2 linked regions of the Oreochromis niloticus genome follow. The protein of the gene in region 1 interacts with the protein of each later gene in a biochemical or structural test. Links are inferred from orthologs where the notes say so. Each region holds a gene or a part of one and is shown on either strand. Other genes may lie near its edges. The genes, in order: dapk3 and pawr.

Region 1 (10,229 bases):
AACTCGCGACAGCATCCAAACTGCAAATGAATCGCGCATGAACGAAGCCACAGCAGTAAATGTACATTTTTCTTTGTCTAAACTAAATCAATGCACTAAAACATCATTCCAACACAGTCACTTACTCACTTCCTCCACTGTGTGTGAGCCTCTCTGTGACATAAGCTAAACAAATAGCTAGCTAGCTCATCAAGTCTCAGTCTAAACTGTACACTCAAAAATACAGAAAAGAGTGGGAATCAAACCCTGAATTTAAGGACTGGTCGAAGCCGTTTATTGGAGATGATACTCTTGCATACTGCCTGTATTGCAAGGCTGATTTCTATGCCAAACTGAGTGATGTGAAAAAACACATGCTAACACAAAAAACATACTCAAAAGGCAAAGCCTTATAACAGTTCCACCCAAATGAAACTGCCGTTTATTACTAAAAAAAAGTGACTCTGCAAAAAGTTTATTATTCTTTAATAAAGCTATCGCTGAACACTGTTCCATGCTGGCATGTGATCATATTGGAGAGGCATGTAGAGCTGCTTTCTCAGACTCCACTGCCGCTACCCATTTCAAAATGCACAGGACAAAGTGCACAGAAATGATTAATGGTGTTCTGGCACCATACTTTCTGAAAAAGTTGGTTGCAGATGTGGGTAATCAGCGTTTCAGCCTCCTCCTCGATGAGTCCACAGATATAAGTGTTTCTAAATGGCCTGGTAAATGGCCTGTATTTATATAGCGCTTTACTAGTCCCTAAGGACCCCAAAGCGCTTTACATATCCAGTCATCCACCCATTCACACACACATTCACACACTGGTGAATTCTAAGTACCTGGGGGTTGTCATAAGGTACTTTAGTGACACCAAGGAGACAATTGTGTTCAATTTTCTTGGGCTTGTTGAGTTGGAGGGAGGAGATGCCAGATCTATAGCTCGTGTTGTTGTGGCTTTCCTTGAGAAGTGTTGTCTTAAAAAAGACAAACTCTTGGGGATAGGGACCGACAATGCACCTGTGATGACAGGGATTAACAATGGGGTCCATAAAGAGCTGAAGGAGGAGTATGGCCTCAAAGATCTTGTTCTTATTCGCTGTGTATGCCACTCTCTGCAGCTTGCTGTAAGTCATGCTTCCAATGACACCATACCCCGTAGTGTGGAGTACTTGGTTTAGTGTCTCCAAAGCGCAAGGAGGTCTACAAGGCCATTTATGAGACCATCACCTGTGAGGAGAAACCTTTACAGATAACCAAGGTGTGTGCCAAACGTTGCCTCTCCATTGAACCTGTGGTTTCACGCATTTTGGACCAGTGGGATGACCTTAGGCTGCATTTTGCAGTCAGCAAGTCCAGTGAACATTGCTACATGACTGAAGTTTTACACTCCATGTACAATGATCCTCAAAATATCTTGTACATGTCTTTTCTGAAGTCATTGCTGGGAGAGGTACAGACCGCCATCAAGGCTTTTGAAGAAGAACAGGTAGATCTCTTAAACTACTTTACATCTTGGTAAGCCTGATCAAGTCTGTGAGCAGCAGGGTGCTGAATCCACTGGCAAATGTTGATGTACTCAAAGAGCCAGTAGAGGGATACATCAGTTCCAAACCATACCTTGGTTACCTTTTTTGAGTCAAAAGCAGCTGAGTTGCACCTTGCGCCTGAGGATGAAAAAAATATCAGAAAGCAGTGTGTAGCCTTTACCATATCCCTCACTAATGAGTTGAGGGTGAGACTGCCTGACAACATTGAAGCATTGCAGTACATGTCAGTTTTCAATGTGGAGGAAACTCTAAAGCACAACAAGAGCCCTGGAGAAATAGAAAAAATTGCTAAACTCTTTGGCTTCTCCCCTGAAGTGATAGATAAGATTGTCCACCAATGGCATACCATCCATCTTAGGAAATGGAATGAGACAAAAAACACAATAGACTTCTAGAGTGAGATTTGGAAGTACAGGGATGCAGCTGATATCAACCCGTTTTAAGAACTTGCCATGGCTGCTGTGTCTGTGTTGTCCTTGCCACACTCAAATGCTGAAGTTGAGAGAGTATTCAGCCAGATGAGTGTGGTAAAAAGCAAACTTAGAAATGTCCCTGCAGAGCCTTAACTCCATCCTGTGCATCCGATATGGACTGAAGCTGTCTGGTGAGGCTTGCTATGAGCACCAGCTGCCTGATAATGTTTTGCAGCTTTTTGGCACATCAGGTGCTTACTCATTTAAGTCAAGTGCTACAGTTGCTGAACCTGCCATAGAGAATCTTGACGAAAATGAGGATGAGCCACTAGTTCTGTGAGCCAGCACAGCCTATGTGTTTGGAGAGATACCTGAAAAACACACACACACACACACACACACACAAAAACAATCAGCCTGAATTAGGAGCAGACTAGTCCCCATCGTTTTTTTCACATTGCGACTGTTTATTTCTACTGTCTGTTTTTGGTCCATTTAGATTCCTAATGTGGTTTGTTAACAACAGTATGGTTAAAAATGTTCAATTGATGACCAATTATGCAAATTAGGCGATGAGGTCATTTAGCGACTTGTAGCGATTTTTTGGACTGCCAATAGCGATTTTCCTTACTGAGGAGTTGGCAACACTGCCTCCAGTATGGGCCACTCCAGAGCCTTTTCGACAGCGCTGCAGACCTTGGGGGGAAAGCATTGTTGTGGAAATGACACAGTCTTCACTAGTGGGGATAGTTACAAAGCTTTCTTCGTTATGAATTAGCGATAAATGTTTTTATTGAACATTTGAAGATAAAACAACACAAACTCTTGTAAATGACATAAAGTCAGAGATAGAAACGGCAAGGAGCAGGCGCATCTAGTACACGTAGAGCTGCCACAGAGCTCAGCAGGCAGCGCCACAAATTCTGGATCCTTGGCTCTTAGTTAGCAGTTAGCATTAGCAGCACATGGTGCGTCCGCTGTGAAAGGGCCTTTATGCTGCGCACTGTGACTCACAGCAGTGGTCCCGGGTCAGCCCTGACTTTGTGTTAAAAGAATCCTAAAGTAATAATGCTATTTCTAATCTACAAACACAAATCTTTTTTACACACACACAAATTCTCATCTGTAGATGCACAAACATAAAATTCTTACATATTTTGGTTTACAAGGTTACAAAACTTAGTTCAAAATTATGCATTTGATTTACCAGCACAAAATATTTATGACCACAATTTGAGCCCATAAATGGCACCAACCAAGTGCAATTTTCCCCATGTAACAAAGTATTTAATTCTATTTGTAGTGTTTTATTCTACTTGGCATTTCTATTTTTATTTCTTTTATAGTACTTATTCTATTATATGCAGTATTCTTTCTATTTTATATAGTATGTTATTCTGTTTATCTTAATATATTCTCCTTTTTCTCTTAATTTTTTTTTTTTTTTCCTGCTCTTGTACTTCCTGCCGTGACCAAAAATTTCCCATGTGTGGGACTAGGTTTATCTTATCTTATCTTATCTGAGATAAAACAATTATCATATGCTTCCACACTCAGGTGTGGGATTTGCATCCTTTCACCGTCCCTGGTGGTCTAGTGGTTAGGATTCGGCGCTCTCACCGCCGCGGCCCGGGTTCGATTCCCGGTCAGGGAACTCATTTTTCAAACAATGTCAACTTTGTACACCTTTGAGCACATATCAAATTCTAATTATGAACTCCTTGGCTCTTTTAACCAGATTTATGCAGAAAACGAAATATCCTGCTGTCCAAATCCTCACTAGCATCATAAGGCATGGACCTTATGGATACTGTCGTCCTTATTTAAACTTCAATCATAATATCCAAGAGCAGAGTGTGGAGGACTGCATGGGAAAATCCGAGAAGACATGAGGGTCTACTCGGATGTCTGCATACTGTGTATTTTTTATGATCAGTACTTGTCCACAGAAACAAATACATGTTGTTATTAGAGCCTGTTTCTACCAGCAACTCCTTACCTTTTTGATCTTTTAACCATGTAGACTCTCAGAATAGCATTCAGGTCAGATGACCAGATGCGTCTGGTCGCACAGAGTAGCAGATTAGAGCACTGATGAGATCTTATCTCTGCTGTACCTGCACCTAAACTTTGGAGCAAACCAGAAGCTCATATTCAACACATGTTCAAAACATGTTCATTCTAAGCCTCCATCTGGCTGACGATATCAACATTATATGCACGATTCTGAAAGCGCCAACACGGGTTATCTATGGTCCCTGGTGGTCTAGTGGTTAGGATTCGGCGCTCTCACCGCCGCGGCCCGGGTTCGATTCCCGGTCAGGGAACTCATTTTGAAAATGCAAGAACGACCAAAGTCGCTGAAAGTGCTGTCCATTCCTATCCTGCATCAACCCTCCTGCTAAAATCCCGGCCTATTCCACTAACCAGATAACTACTTATTATTTTCCAGAAAACATACTCGTATTGTGTCTAATTAGAGTATTTTAATAAGTTAGTCGTTATTAGAAACCCCGTTGTTATGTGTTCATGTGTATCACTGTCTAATAGTGTGCCTCTTCCCTGCTCTGGCCTCTCTTTAATTTTCGCTGCTGCATGCTGGGTCTTGTTGCTCACTGACGTACTGCAGCGGGCTGATTCACTCAGCATGATGTCATTCCATATGTCCTCCCTTCTGTCCGGTGTTTACCTGCGTCAAGATGCGCAACGACAGCGGAACTTAAACCACTTCAACTTTCACAATAAAGGTTTTCTTACGAAATCAAGGCTAAATATTTCTATTTGCCTGATAAGCTCTCAACTTAAACTTAATGCAGTGGTGCCACATAGTGTGAAATGATTCTTATTAGTTTTTTATGGCTGGTTCATATCTTAAACATATCAAAAAAAAAATTGCCAAAGAAAAAGAACTGCTCTCGTTTTAGCCAAACGAGAGCTTAGCTGTGGTTTTGTGGGGCCTTAAATAGAATTTGACATCACCCAAGCTGACCATATCTTGATTGAATTGAAGGTTTGTTTGATAATTCTGTTGATCTTACATTACTGATACGTATTCATGGAAACATTTCTTCACGCTTCTCTTTTTTCTTTTTAGCCCCAGAGGGATAAATCCTTTTGGTATAGAATAGAATAGGTCTTTATAGTCACTGTTACAAAAACAGTGAAACACAGTTTGGCATTCTCCGTTGGCACCATGTAGATTTACATTCAGATTGTTTTAGCATAGGAGAAAAAAGATAAAAATAGACATAAGTTTAAGGGTACCTTCTCAGGGAATGTGTGTAACACACAATAAAGTAAGTATCTACACAGTAACACAGGCATTTACGGGGGGGGATTGAAGATGTTAACACGTTAATTGGGCGTGACCAGGATGGACAAGATTAGAAATGAGTACATCAGAGAGTGGTTTGGCGACTGCGTTGTTTGGCGCCGAAGGTTATTGCTTTTACTTTTGAAGGGCACCGGAAGCTGTGTTCCGCCGCAGTTAGCTTGATGTTTCTCAGTCGGGGAGTTCACACACAACTACTTGGCAAAGGAATGCAGCACTCGTAGCCAGCCGTACTGTAAGTATCTGTAGTAGAAATCCCTTCACTTTTATGTGACTGAATATATGCGTTGTTGTCAGTATTTGAGTTACTATGAATCCTTTTCTTTGTCTTTATTAAGCGCTGTGTTTCTACAGAACGCTAATGTTAGCTTCACAGCTAAGCTAGCTGCTTTCCGTCGTCGGGATTCCCTTTATTTCTTTCCTTAAGTTCTTTAAACATCCTTCAGATTCTAATAAGTTAACACGATGATCCCTTTTCACGAGTTTACCTTTGTGTTTGCTTTAAATAGGTGTTCCTTTGTGTCGTTTTTCATTTATGATGGAAAAGTGCAATATAAACGTCGCAATTTAGCATCTTTTTAAAGTCATTATCTATGTATGGTCAGTTAAACATTCATTCATTTGGCTCGTAGTTTGTTATCTAGCCAGTGAAAGGTAACATAGTTGGTTGTGTAGTCCCTTTAATTGAGTCGGAGAGCTGATCCCGGGAAGGACATGATGTAGTAGGACTGGTATGCAGAGGTCTGACATCAGCTAAAAAGTCTCCAAAGCAGTGTTGACTCCAAATAAGGAGGGAAGAAGCCCTAAAGTGCTAACACTGTCTTATCACTTCCTCCATACTCTGTACTCTGTGGTGTCTGTGGCCTCTGTGTCACATATCCACGTTTAAGTTTTGTTTTTTGTTTTTTTGACTGCAGGAAATCTGAAGGCGTTACTCCCATCATCATCATCATAAGAGTCAACACACCATGGCTGGCTTCAGACAAGAGGATGTTGAGTTGTACTATGAGATGGGAGAGGAGCTGGGGAGGTAAGCTTTGTGGGTCTTTTTAAAAACATTTAATTGAAAGCATTATATGTGAAAACTCTGCTGTCTTCTTCATTGCTGTCCTATTCAGCTGTTGTGCTGTATGCTTCAGTTCATCTGAAAGTGTAAGGACACTTTTTGCTGTAGTGCTTTGATGACAAAGTTTGGTTAATTTGTAAAACACATTTTTTTAAGTTCCTCTTTTTAGGATGTGTAAGTGATATTTTTTTTCTGCTTGTCAGTGCTCCATAATTAAAAACAGACCTAAATGTGAAATGCAATCATCACACAAGGCTGCTTGAGATGGATTTTAATGCCAGGTCGGCATGATCTGAACAGGGCTAGATATTTGATATGTGTGAGCAGTAGGGCTGCCACAAACGATTATTTTGATAGTCGACTAGTCACCGATTATTTTTGCGATTAGTCGACTAATCAGATCATGCATCCATTGGACGTAAAATGTACACCTGAAAATATGTTAAACGTTTATTTTGTGACCCAGAAAGAATAATAATTGTAATATTAAAACTAACTAGCTGCCGCCATTGTTGACAACTGCGCTGGGCCGCGCTATGAATTCTGGAACACAGTTTCTTCTTCTTCGGGGTTTAATGGCAGCTGGCATCCTTGTACATGCAGTGCTGCCATCTTCTGTTTCAGTCCGTTATTACACTCTTAAATACTACTACTTATTCCTGCGTCTTTTGGGATCTTACAAAGCTTCAAACGACGCGTCGACTATTAAATTAGTCGTCGACGATTTTAATAGTCGACGTAATCGTGACTAGTCGACTAATCGTGGCAGCCCTAGTGAGCAGCACTGTATTAAATGCCGTCTTTAATCCTTTTCTGCTGTGCTGGATAGTTTGTGAATGAGTCATCACATTTTTGGAGATGAAACACAACTTTCTGGCTTAGCTTTTTTTTTCTGCAGTAATGCAGCAAAAGTGTGACGTCACTGCCTCTCATTGTGCCTTTGCACCTCTGCTGTAGTGTAAGAGAGGGGACTCTGTGTGTGTGTATGCAGATACTAAATGGATCTAAACCACACATTTGTGCTTAATAGTCTATGTGGAATAAAACAGACTTTTCTTGTTTTTAGTTGTGTTAATGATAGTTTTGTTGTGCTGACAACACACTATTTTGCTTTCTTGAGCTTCAGTCAGAGATTTTAACTTCTGTTTGGATAACAGACATTTCATTTAATTCCGGATGGAGCATTTTCAGTGGCAGAAACTTTTTGTCACTCATCCAAGTAACTTCTTCAGTTCAGTCTCTGCTGACTGCAGACTGCAGCACCACTGATTAACAATGGGCTGTGAGGTCAGTTTCATGATCATTCATATTCAAATTGTCATGACCATTGATCAGTGCCCAAGAGTACCTTTGTGAGGATAGTGTTCTCTCTGTGTTGTAGTGTTCTGATGATGACACATTTGTGCTCTAGTGGATGACGAGAGTCAAAACCTTAAATACTGATCCGTGTGCGTCGGTTTACGGTACACGTCGACTTTTAAGTGTCCCCCATTACTGATGGAAATTTCACAGTCTAAGAAGGCTAGCACAGCACAGTTGGACCAGCAGTATTTATACTTGCAGGCCAGTGACTCTTTCAGTGATGAGGATGTACACATCCTGCACAGGGAGCATTTATGTGAAAATGGAAAGACCATCTGTGAATTGAGGAAGGAGCTCAGGGTACATCTTTCACCATCTTACAATGCTGTGATTGCAGGCCATTGATCATTGGCCATGATAATTTGCATATCAATGATCATGAAACCATTGTTAATCAGTGGTGCTAGTTTTGATCATCATCATCATGTGCGGTTTGTTGGGGAATTTTGGCTCTAGAATACTTTGGTATACAGAAGAATTCGGTGTCGAGTCAGTGACTGTAGGGTGTCCGTGTCCTGTGGCTGCAATAAAAGGCTGGATCATCACCCCTCCACCACCGTGTTTGATAGTTGATGTGTTGTGTTTGATTTTGCCATATGTTGGTGTGCATTATGGCCAGATATCTCCACTTTGGTCTTGTATGTCCAAAGCAGATTGTTTCAGAAGTCCTGTGGTTTGTTCAGATGTGATTTTGCTGCCAAGTTTTTTGTTTGTTTGTTTTTTTTCCTTTTTTTTTTCTTTCCAAAAATTTAACAAACTTTAACATTTAATATGTTAACTGAGGTCTCTAGAGTCTGAGATGTAGTTCTTGGGTGTTTTTTGCAGTTTCTCTGAGTGTTGAATGGTCTGATGTTAGGGTGAATTTGCTAGGATCTAAACTTATGGGATGACTTAATGCTAAAGATTAGCAAACTCCCAAAACCTATGCTTTTATAGAGGTCCTCACACTTACTGTTGATCAAGTGCATTTGATGACTTGCAGCAGCTGGCTGGCACTTAATTCCTGTGGAGGCAGAAAGGGTGTGCTTTGTTTGCCAAAGGACTGTAAATGGGCTTGACTTTTTGGGGGGGTTTTTTCCTCCTCTGGTTAAGCCGTATATGTGAATGGAGTGATGAAAAAAGCAAATAAAACAATTAAAAAAGACAAGACATGACGGGTTTTGACACTACAGGATTTTACTTGAATTTGATCCAAGTTCATTGTCTATACAGGGTTTTATTTACAAGATCTGAAATCCAGAAAGGGCAAAAGCAGGAAAAAAAATAACACTAGATACAACTGATGTATTAGCTAAAAGCATTTTGAAGTCTTTCCTGATAAATATCTACGATGATGGACAGAGTTGCAGTATCTTCTGCTTAAAAAACATCTTTTTTTTCCCCCCATCAACACATGAGGTAGGAGAAAATTGCATTGACATCTCTCTGATGTTTCCTCTCTGCAGTGGACAGTTTGCCATCGTCCGTAAGTGCAAGGAGAAGAGCACAGGCGTCGAGTATGCAGCCAAGTTTATCAAGAAGCGGCGCCTGTCGTCCAGCCGGCGGGGGGTGAGCCGGGAAGAGATTGAACGCGAGGTCAACATCCTGCGTGAGATCCAGCACAGCAACATCATCACCCTGCATGACATCTTTGAAAACAAGACGGATGTGATCCTGATCCTGGAGCTGGTGTCTGGAGGAGAGCTGTTCGACTTCCTGGCAGAGAAAGAATCTCTGACCGAGGAGGAGGCCACGCAATTTCTCAAGCAGATCTTGGACGGCGTTCAGTATCTCCACTCCAAACGCATCGCTCACTTCGACCTCAAGGTCAGCACTGAGGGGAAACTTGAGGGGCTCTGATACAGCAGTGGTAGATGACATGTTGGTGTGAGCAGACAAACACGCCTGCCCTGATTATTGTGGGGTAAAAACATGCTAAAATATATTTTGGGTTAAATATCTTAACATTAATGAAATCATATTTTCAGGGACGACTACTCTCAATGGGGTCAATGTAATCATCTTATTTTTGATAGCTAAAAGTCAGACATAAGCTTCTAAAAAAGGAAAAGACTACTAATCTTTATCGATAAAGATATGGTGACCAAAACATTTAAACTGTACTGCAACATTTAAGTTCATGAGGATAGAATAAAAATCATATAATAGGATTATTTCTGTATTATTTTAGTTGGTGAATGATGGCAAGTACAGGAGCAAAGCTTATTTTTTGGACTTGTATGTAAGCTGCTGACAGTTGTGATAAAATGCAAGTGTCACAGTTCAAAAGCTCAAGTAGAAAATGCTGCTTTGTCAGCGTCTCATGTCATCGACTTGCCCGTCCTTCTCCTTTCAGTGATGTAAGTTGTTTTTTTTTAAATTTGTTTTTGTTTTTTTTATCTTTCAGCCTGAGAATATCATGCTGCTGGACAAGAACGTCCCCAACCCCCGGATCAAGCTGATAGACTTTGGGATCGCTCATCAGATCAAAGCTGGAAACGAGTTCAAGAACATCTTTGGAACACCAGAGTTTGTTGGTGAGA
Region 2 (10,110 bases), on another chromosome or scaffold:
TTGGGAGAAACATTTCGTGAATACTTCCCTAGATTGGACAAACAATTTCATGGGGGAGCGAGCTCGATTGAGTCTGCTCGCTACAGAATTACCCACCTAATAGCTCCTGACTGCAGCATTACTGTCAAATAAATGAAAATGTGTGAATGCAAGAGTGGCCATTACACACTGTTATGTTTAATATATTTTTACGTGCACTGCTCATTTTACAGCCTAGCGAGCGCTGCATTTTATTCCTCTTTACCATAAATGTGTTATGGGTTACAAAATGCATGATAGGGCCACTTATTAAAGCTCTCAGAGTCTTGTTGGGTACTTTGAATACAAATTCAGTGTTCATTATATACAGAGCTTGAGCTTGGCTATTTCGGTAATGCATTACTGGAATGCTATTGGGCATTTAAGTTGCACAGCAGCGTTTGTGTTGGCATGAAAGGAAACACTTAGCGACAGCCTTTAAGCACCCCCGATCCTCATTCTTTTTTTTCTCCCCCTCCTCAACAGCAGACAGAAATATGCTAAATATGCAGCAGAGTGACCCGAGTCCATAGATCAAGGTTTATTTTTAGGAGAGGCACCTCACTCCCATGCTCCACCCAGGTTTTCTCATTATCTGTACCAGGGTTAGCACATGCAGAGATAATGGCTGAATGCCTGGCCTCCCACTCGCTCCTGAGACACGTAGATAGGTCACATTTTCTGATCTTTAAGGCAGAAAAACACCGATCTAATAACATGTAAGCCGATTCTATTTCAGATATGTACATTTGAGTATCTGTGGTAAACTTCCCTTAAAGTCAGTGCACCCTTGTGAGCAAGCTGGCCGCACACAAATCTAACACCAAAAGGCTCATATCCTTCAGCACAGGTGAGTTATGGGGCTATTATCGTAGCATGAAATTAGGTTCCTGACAGTAAGCACCTATAGCAGGTTTAAATCACTGCACGGGGAGAAACCTGTGCTTGTACAGTTGGGTAATGGCATGCACGTGGCTGGAATATAACTGGAATGCAATGCAGAGTAATAACAACGGAGCTTTGCAACAGCATGCTGCAATGACTCGCAGGATGTTGTATTAATTACACTTCCTCTAACTTCGGCTCATTATGCAGGAGAACTCCAGAACAGGTTTGAAATGATAATGATGTCTTTGGGACTTGTTTTTAGAAACAAAGTTATACATAGACTCGACTGAAAGCTGCAAACCTGCTGTATTTTAATGAGCTGGTAGCTGTTGTGCGGCTTCCCATCATATTAACTCCTTGTTTTGAGTTTGTGCTTGAGCTTAAAAACAGTTTTATCATTTGTTGACTCCCTCACAAAACTGTCACTGCGCTTCTCGTCCTCGAAGAGAGCTTCTCTGGCATTTTCTTTGTGCACTAATAATAGAAGTATACTGGATTTGTGAAGCACTTTTCTTGAAAGCAATGATCAGGCCTTAAGATGTTTCATGAAGAAGCCCTAAGCCCTGTGAAGTCACACAGCCGTGGCTCAGGAGACAGCGTAGGTCATCTAATGGGAAGATTGGTGGCTTTGATTCGCAGCTCCTTCAGTATGTGTCCCAAAGTGTCATCAGGCAAGACAGTGAACACCAACAATATGTAAATATGTTGCCTCACAGCAAGAAGGTCCTGAGTTCAATTCCACCATCGGGCCGGGGTCTTTCTGTATGGAGTTTGCATGTTCTCCCCCTGTTTGCGTGGGTTCTCCCCGGGTTCTCCGGCTTCCTTCCACAGTCCAAAGACATGCAGATAGTGGGGATAGGTTAATTGGAAACACTAAATTGTCCATAGGTGTGAATGGGGGAGTGAATGTGAGCGCAAGTGGTTGCCTGTCCAGGGAGTACCCCACCTCTCACCCTAAGTCACCTGGGATAGGCTCCAGCACCCCCCGCGACCCTGAAAAGGATAAGCGGAAGTGAATGGATGGATGGGTGTAGGCGGCTTTAAATGGCTGATAAGACTAAGAGTGTACTATAAATTCCAGCATTGCGCCCATATTTTATATCTTTTACTTAATGATAGGAAAGCTACTTATGTTAATTCATTTAACATTTTAATTGCCTTTTCATGTAAACACAGAGATAAAATCGTCATAGCAACACAGACTGATGTGTCACAGCTCACTGGGGCAATTTAAGTAACTGTAATTATGTTACTTTCAATGAATAATGGACTGGTGCTTATATAGTGCCTTTCTACTCTATTTAAGCTCTCGTAACGCTTTCTTAATGCAAGCCTTATTCACCCATTTGTGTTGTTTTGTTTGTTTTTCTTAACTATAACATTACACGCGCAACATGCAGACCAGAGGAGCTGGGGGTCAAACCACTGACCTTCTGATTAGGAAGCAACCTGTTCTAGAGCCACAGTCACTCTACAATACAGACCCAGCTAACTCACCTGAAACCAATCTTTACTCTTTGGGACTCATTTTAGTTTGAAACGGCTGTAATTGCATAAAAATATCTGTATCATTTACAAAAAGTTACAAACACAAATCATGAAGATTGCTTGTGGCTTATCTTTTCAATCTCAGGTTACAAACATCACTAGAACTGCATTTTGCTATCTTAGAAATATTGTCCATGTATCAGGAAATTATCAGAGGGAATGGAAAACCAGCAAGCTGTCAGTTATATCATCCGCAGGATTTTTTTATGCTGTGACAGTGGATTATTTATTGGTCGAGCAACTACAAGATGAATATTGTCTTATTGATTTTACCCTGCCTCTGAGGGGTGTATAATCACAAACCTGTCACCTCACAAGCCCAGTTCTCAGGAGAAAAGGGAAAACAAGATGGGTCACGGCTCCCACTTGGAATATAAGTTCAGGAGAAAATTTGAGACTCTGAGACATACCCACTTTAGTATTTAGATGAAAATCTGCTGAAGCCACATATGCGGTGTGTAACTGAAATCTTGCTCTTTTTTTTGTGAACTAAGCGGAAATTGAATTTTTTGTGTTAGTGTGTGATGTTTAAGAAATGGCAGTCAAACAATCCTGAGATTTATTTGGACTCAGAAATCATCAGCACAGTTTTTATGATCATAAACAGTTTAGTTAATTTGGACACTGCATCAAAACAACTCCCTAAATACACTCACCGGCCACTTTATTAGGTGCATGTTGCCAGCATCAGTTTTTTTTGCCTTAATGTGTTATGGAATTGATTCAACAAAACTGAGGAAGCACTCCTCAGAGATTGTTGATCATTGTATGGGAAAATCCTAGGAAAACAGTTGCTTCTGAAATACTCAGACCAACAACAAAGTGCTGCATTCAAAGTCAGCGAAATCATCTTTCTTCCTCACTCTGATGCTCGGTTTGAATTTCAGCATGTCATCGTGACCATGTGTACAGGTCTAAATGCATAGAGCTTAAGTTATGTGATATCCCTGTTTAAAGGCTCTTTCTGAGATCTCAGATTGAAATTTTTTGCTCTTTTTTAATGTAATAGAGGTTTATTATTGTTATCAAACATGTGTTCTGTCTACTGAAAGCCTTATTTAGAACTTTGAGGACTCAGATATTTCAGAACAACAACTGAGTACAGATATAATTGCATGTCGATTTTTAAAGTGAAGTTTTCCGCTGTCAGCGAGGTTTCAACTTTGAGCAGCGCACATTTCTTGTAAATTGTCAAGTCATAACAAAAAAAAATGAAATGAACTGCTCAGTCATCGAAAGTTGCCCTCACCCTACCCGGGGATCAAGTTTCCCTGAAAGCAGGTTTTTCATCTGATCAGAGCTGGTTGGGTGAGTTATCGGGTGCCTAAGGGACTCTGTGGGACCTGCGTGAGAGAAGGTGTTGAGAAATGCCCTTGTGCCGAAGTGTTCCACTGTGACTGTGCAAAGATCAAAGGGCCACTGAAGACGTGAAATCAGCGACACTGTTGCTGTTGACACAAGTCGAGCCGCAGAGGTGTACGGGGACTTTAACAATCACATTTTCAAGGTCTCGAACTTCCACTCAACTCTCAGAGCAAAACAGAAAGTTTTCAGTGAATTACAGAAAGCTCTTAAAGCAAGGAGTGGATGGATTTTCAAGGACAGGTCTGGACCCACCAGAGGGTCCAATTTGACCAACTGATGGCTAAAAAAAGTATGAAAACAGCAATGAAATTGTAAAAAATGAATTTCGATTGCTGAGTGGTGATGCAAAGCCAGCATAACTACACAGGGGTGAACAGAATTTTAGACCTAGACACATTGTTCGGATCATAAAGAAGTAAAATACGAATGTTTATTACAAAAGAAACTGTACATGTGAAGAGTTGTTGCTTTTGCACTGTTAAATACACATGCACATGTTATGACAGCAGACCTTATTCTTGCGAAGCTGTTAATCATGTTCTTGTAAATGGGTAAATGGGTGGCTCATCAAAGGGGACAATGCTTCTTCTTTACACTTTTTCTTCTTACCGCAAGGTAATAAAAAGTTAATTTAAAGAGCATGAATGCAGATCTTATACAAATGAAAATGTTTATCAAATTTCTAACTGACAATGGAAGCAATCCTTTCCTTTCTTTGCCCTTATTAAAGAAAGGGAAGGAGTGGTTGCAGTCATTTTACTGGTCTTGGCTAGTTTTTGTAACACAGACAGATAAATTATAGAAAATTATTGTCATACTCACAGTGAAGAAATATGTTCCCCTGTGCAACAATAACAAATGGCAAACAGAAAAGAATCCACATACAAAAATAGATAAATAAAATAACTGATGATTTAAAAACAACAGAAACAATTGTAAAAAAAATATCTGGGCTGCTTGAAACTTTGTACATATACACTTTACACAACTTACATATAAGGAAGCATGAAAATGCAGAAATGTTATCATAAAAATAATTAACACAACTATATTAACCTTTATCTTTATGGAAATATCGCCGATAAGTATTGTAAAAGCTATAACAAATAACCTTAAACCCGAAAGCACCTGTGGGAACAGTGAAGAGTTATTACACAGCGCCCCTTCTCTGCTTCGGCTTCAGTCGGAAGTGTTCGCGCACTTTCGGGATTCAAGCCGGTGTTTTCAGAGGAGTAGAGCGAGCACGGCGGGTCCCAGCTCCGCAGACTACAGCAGTTCATGTGAGAGCAGCTCGGGCACACCTGGTTGGACCGTGAAGAGCAGTTCAGCGACCGAGACAGCTCCACTCAGGTGAGTTTCTACCTGAATTTAGACCTTTGTTGTTCTCTCGTCCACTTCTCCACACTCTGACTTTCTTCTTTCGGGCGGAAAGTTACCTTAGAGATAAACAGACTTTGTAAACTTACTTTTTAAACAAAACCCGTCCTGCACGCTGAGTATCGCGAGGTGGAGGTGAGAACGCCTCCATAATGAACAGCTGAAAGTTTACTTGTCCTGACTTTATTTTCATTCTACCTTTCAGCAGCTCCCGAGTTAATCACTTGAGGAATGTGGTGCAATTAGGACGGTGGCCGAGAGCTGAAAATTCATATCAACTTCAACTTTTAAGTTACTTTTTTTCCTCACTTCGACTTTGAACTTATAAGAAAAAAGGGATCATGGCTACAGGCGGATTCAAGTCAAGCGCCGCGACGGACTTTTTGGAGGAGTGGAAGGCAAAACGGGAGAAAATGAGAGCCAAAATGCTGGGGGACATTGCCGCAGCCACTGGTACTCCCTTGGGTGCCAGCAATACAAACAGCAGCCGCAACGCCGTTCCTCCTCCATCTCCTCCTCCTCTTCCTTCGGCCACCGAGTTCACCAACAACGGCAACCCGGACCGAAGCTCCTCCGCTGGGAACTGCCACCCCTCCTCCTACGCGGTTGCTCGGTCCTCCTCTGGCACTTCTCTAAAGAGGCCCGAGGAGGAAATGCACCACCCCGTGGCACCCTCAGCCACGCCGGGAAGCAACCTGAAGAAGGCCCTGCCTCAGCCGGAGAAGACTCAGGACTCTACTCCCATGGCTTGCAACGACAGTGACAAGGAAAGCCCGTCACCCAGCAGCAAGGGCAAGGAGAAGAAGAGCACCGGGCCCAGCGCCAGGAAGGGGAAAGGACAGATCGAGAAGAGGAAGCTAAGGGAAAAAAGGAGATCCACAGGTGTCGTGAACATACCATCCAATGAGGTGAGTCGGGGGAAAAGAGGGCAGAGATTCACCTCAGCATCAGAATGGGTATAACTCGGAGGCTCGTTTTGGGATTGGTCATGTTTTTTCTCTATTGGGAATAAAAGTATTTCCAAAAAACTATTAGTGAAAGTTAGTCTCTTGTATGTGGAAATGGGTGGATGCTTGATGCTTGTGCATTTTTATTTTTATTTTTGTAAGGAAATAGTGGCTTCTGTGTGTTGCACTTGAACACCACTTGCCTTCCTACACTCCAAATTCCTCCCATACATGTGTCTGGTTTAATTGAGCCTCTGCTGGACTGAAATGAAAGCAGTTCTCAGATGGTGGGAGCGGGTGGAGGTGTACAGTATGTGTGTTGCACATTCATTGTTGTTGGATTTAAATCATGTCGCAGTCCTGCCTGATTCCTGTGGTTCAGACACATGCAGGAACTCTGATATGAAGCTTGGCCAACACTGAAAAAACACTCAAATTACACGGAAATTCTCGGAATAGATGCCCCCCCCCCCTTTTTGTTTTTTTGTTTTTTTTTGGTAAGGGGATGGTATTCTGGTGTCTTTCAAAGTGGTCTGTGACCACCTTTCATTCTCCTATTTGATAGCCACCCAGAACAATATGCCCCTGGGGCAGCACAACTTGGAGTTTGACCAGCCTGTCAGTTGGAGCCCCACATCCTGTTATTAGGTGCTCAGCAGTGCCGAGCAAAGCCGTTTGAAAACTGGTCACAAGCCAGGCTGTAATGCTGGGCTTCAGCACTCTGGGCTGCGCCAGATATGCTAGATCGAGCCCATAGGCAGCTGATTATGTAGTAAAGTGGGCGAACCGTCTATTATTGGGGGAGGTAGGAGGTGATCTGATGAGGTGGTGAGCTGATTTGTGTGAGCGGGGAAGAGAGAGAAAGAACTGGAAGTGCTGTGGTCTGAGAAAGTTTGTAGAACTTCCCGAGGCAGGTCCTTATCCCTAAAAGTATAGTGAGTAAGAGTATAAAAGATGGACGTACCTGCTGGTTTTTAATTCAGCTTTAAGTGTCCAATGAAAGAAACTGCAGGTTTTCTGTGCACTAGGCTTGGGTGCTATGGTGATGCTGATGTGCTTGCAGTCCAACACTGTGTCCAGTGTGCTTGTAAACTATTTACATACCCTAATTCCTGTCAGCGCCTTGCAATTCCTGTTAATGTTCTCTTTTAATTGTTATTTAAAAGTTATGTACAGCTGAAGGCAGATCACTACATTTGTTAAATAAAATGACAAATACTATGCAGATTTAAAAAAAGGTTCATTGCTGAAAGCATTTGTATTCATCCGACTCCACAACTCAGATTGGTAGGTTCTGATCATCATACTTTGTCAACCGTCGGCACCTGGAGTTGGATAACAGTGATTAAACTGTTCCGCTTATCTTCCGTTAGCGGTGATCAAATGGAGACCTAAAGCCCAGGTGACTGCAGGCAGCCAAAGATCAATCTTTGACTTTTGTCTTCAGCTGCTGAAGTACCTCTGCTGGTAAATATAATGTGACAGATTTCCTGAATGGGAAGCCAAACTTTTCCTCAAGTCGGGCAATCAGAAACCTGCGTAACATGAGATTAATGCATGTGTTTCGCGTTATAGTTAGGCCGGTGATTTCGAAGGAGCATCCCCAGGGACATTTTGACACGTCTCCGATGCTTTCGCACACCCGTGCCAGTTATTCGGACGGTCAGCAGGGTCAGACGGTTATCAGCTTAGACGATCGTATCAGTTTGGCAGCTATGTCAGAGTTACGTAAATGCATTTGTTTACAAACAAATTTATTTATTAATTTTTAAATAATGACTGTGAACCAGCTATGAGATGATAAGCCTCCTGGATATAATGGATCTAAGGTTGTGCTTGCACTGAGCTCATGTGTCTCCCTTTCGTGCACAGATCAGTGGACGCCATGATTCTTTGTACTTTGAGGCTTTTTTGTGTTTATTTCTGGGTACAGTGCTCTCATCTGCCTTCCTGTATTTATCACATTTCAGTCATACTGCACGGAAGCAGCTCGTCTTAAGGAAGTGCAATCAAACCAGATGATTACCACGCCTGAGATCAGTGAACCATTCCCAATCTCATCTGTTTTAGTGGGCTGAACCGAGCACGATGAAGCATAAACGCTCGTTACTGAACTGGACTTTGGTTTAAACATGCTCGCCTGGTTTGAGTTCACCATTAAAGGGTGTACTCCTATAATCAACCTCCAGCATCTTAAATTTGTCTCGAGTATTTTCAGACTTCCTAAAGTTGCAGTTTGAAGTCATATCCTGCACTGCCTCTGGTGCAGTAACCCCTTCAGGAAAAAGTAAAGATTTGCAATTTTAATTACTGTATATCTCATTAACTCAAATATAACACTCAGACTATACAAAAAATATAAAATTTAAATTTTTTGATGTTATATTGTTCTCTTTATTGATGAATTAGTAACGTCAGCTCCTACTTTTTATCTGTATTGAGAAAACTTAGTGCTTTTGTTGTTTTAGTTTAATATTCTTCTTAATATTCAAATTTTTTTGGCATTGTGTCACCATTTAAAAGTAATGTTTACCCATAATCCAGCTTTAATTATGGAAGCTTTATCTCATGGTTTGAGATCCTGCAAGCTTTGCACACAGATGGAAACACAAAAATCCAGAAACCGGTTGCCCGGCAGATGGACTCCTTTTGTGAAAAGTTTTCTCTTTTCTCCTCCTGTTGGATTGGGGGGGGGCAAACTATGCAAATGAAGACTTCCTCACACAAGCTGCCTTTGTGATGTGAATATTAGTGGACAGGTGTGAATAGAGATGCCTGGGATTATCTCCCCGCTCGTTCTGTGCAGCATAATAGCTGCTGAGCGGGATTTCATAGCATCCTGGGAACCCAATCTTCTGCCTGTTGAGGCCATAATGGCCCGATAAAAGCTCCCAGCTCTGCATTGCATCAGTCAGTACCTCCTCCAGCGATCCGGGACGGTGTCTCCTTTCTCTCACCCTGCTCACTCCTGCGGGTCCGAGGGCATTGTTGCCGATGCTGACCTTTGACCTGCACCGCACATTCATATGTGTCTGAGGAATGCGAAAACAAGAGCTTAGATTCAGTGAGTTCTCTTATCTTAAAATGTTTTGGGTTGTGATGTAAGCATGTTTCCCATCAGATCACGCTGCCTGCAGTCTTGTGGTGATGATTCATGTCGGTCATTGTGCCGTTGCTTTTTAAAAAAATTCATGACCTCTGAGAGTTATGAGGTTGTGGTCTGCCGCTCCAGCCAGTGAACTTTGTTTCATGTACATGACTGAGTCTGCTCCACAAACACTGCTGGGGAGTGTGGAGCTATTTGGCCCCTCGGAGCTATTTGTCTGCAGCGTCATTGAAAAGGAGGTCAACAGGTTTAAGGTGCAATGCTGGGCCGAGTGCTCACGCAGTTAACACTCTGGTGATGGGATGATACAGGAGACAAGAGGGCTCCCTGTTTAACCTAGTTATTTGCGACACCACAGGGTTGTTAATACACTGTGTGCTTCATACAAACTCATGTTAACCTGTTAACACACGAACCAGACATGACTAAATAAAATTAAACTAAACTAGGTTTTAGGAAAAATGTGTTTTCAACTGAAAATGGCTCAAAAGAACCAATTACAATGATATTATGCACTTGCAAAACTAGTCTTTGGATTTAATCCTAGTCAGTTTGGCCAAATTCACCTGTGCAACAATTCTGAAATGATAAGGGAAGCATCTGCTTATTCAGATCGGGATTTCTTAACTCTTCCTTCACTGAAACTAATAAATGCTAAACTAAATATTTCTAAAGAGGACAACTCTTTCAAACAAGCCATACTCGTTCCGTCTTTTTCTTGGCTGTCACGAAGATTAACGTTTTACATGCTGAGGCGCGTAGAGTCTGAGATGATGATTATTATTTTATTTTTTTTCCTCCGAGTATTACACAGTCTGGGTGTGACCTCAGTGTGAATTTGTGGGGACGCCCACTCCTGGG

What was found.
Region 2: of the proteins of dapk3 (region 1) and pawr, one has a biochemical effect on the other in vitro, tested with the Homo sapiens proteins (2 studies listed by BioGRID). The link is inferred for Oreochromis niloticus from reciprocal best matches to the Homo sapiens genes DAPK3 and PAWR.

Annotation. Positions count from the first base shown.
Region 1 is NC_031982.2:22,820,024-22,830,252, reverse strand, and holds the start of dapk3 (death-associated protein kinase 3), read left to right. Parts: upstream 1-5,362; 5' UTR 5,363-5,514; intron 5,515-6,196; 5' UTR 6,197-6,247; coding exon 6,248-6,309; intron 6,310-9,152; coding exon 9,153-9,513; intron 9,514-10,093; coding exon 10,094-10,223; intron 10,224-10,229. UniProt on the Homo sapiens protein: Serine/threonine kinase which is involved in the regulation of apoptosis, autophagy, transcription, translation and actin cytoskeleton reorganization. Involved in the regulation of smooth muscle contraction.
Region 2 is NC_031981.2:15,983,469-15,993,578, forward strand, and holds the start of pawr (PRKC apoptosis WT1 regulator protein), read left to right. Parts: upstream 1-4,959; 5' UTR 4,960-5,169; intron 5,170-5,401; 5' UTR 5,402-5,537; coding exon 5,538-6,104; intron 6,105-10,110. UniProt on the Homo sapiens protein: Pro-apoptotic protein capable of selectively inducing apoptosis in cancer cells, sensitizing the cells to diverse apoptotic stimuli and causing regression of tumors in animal models.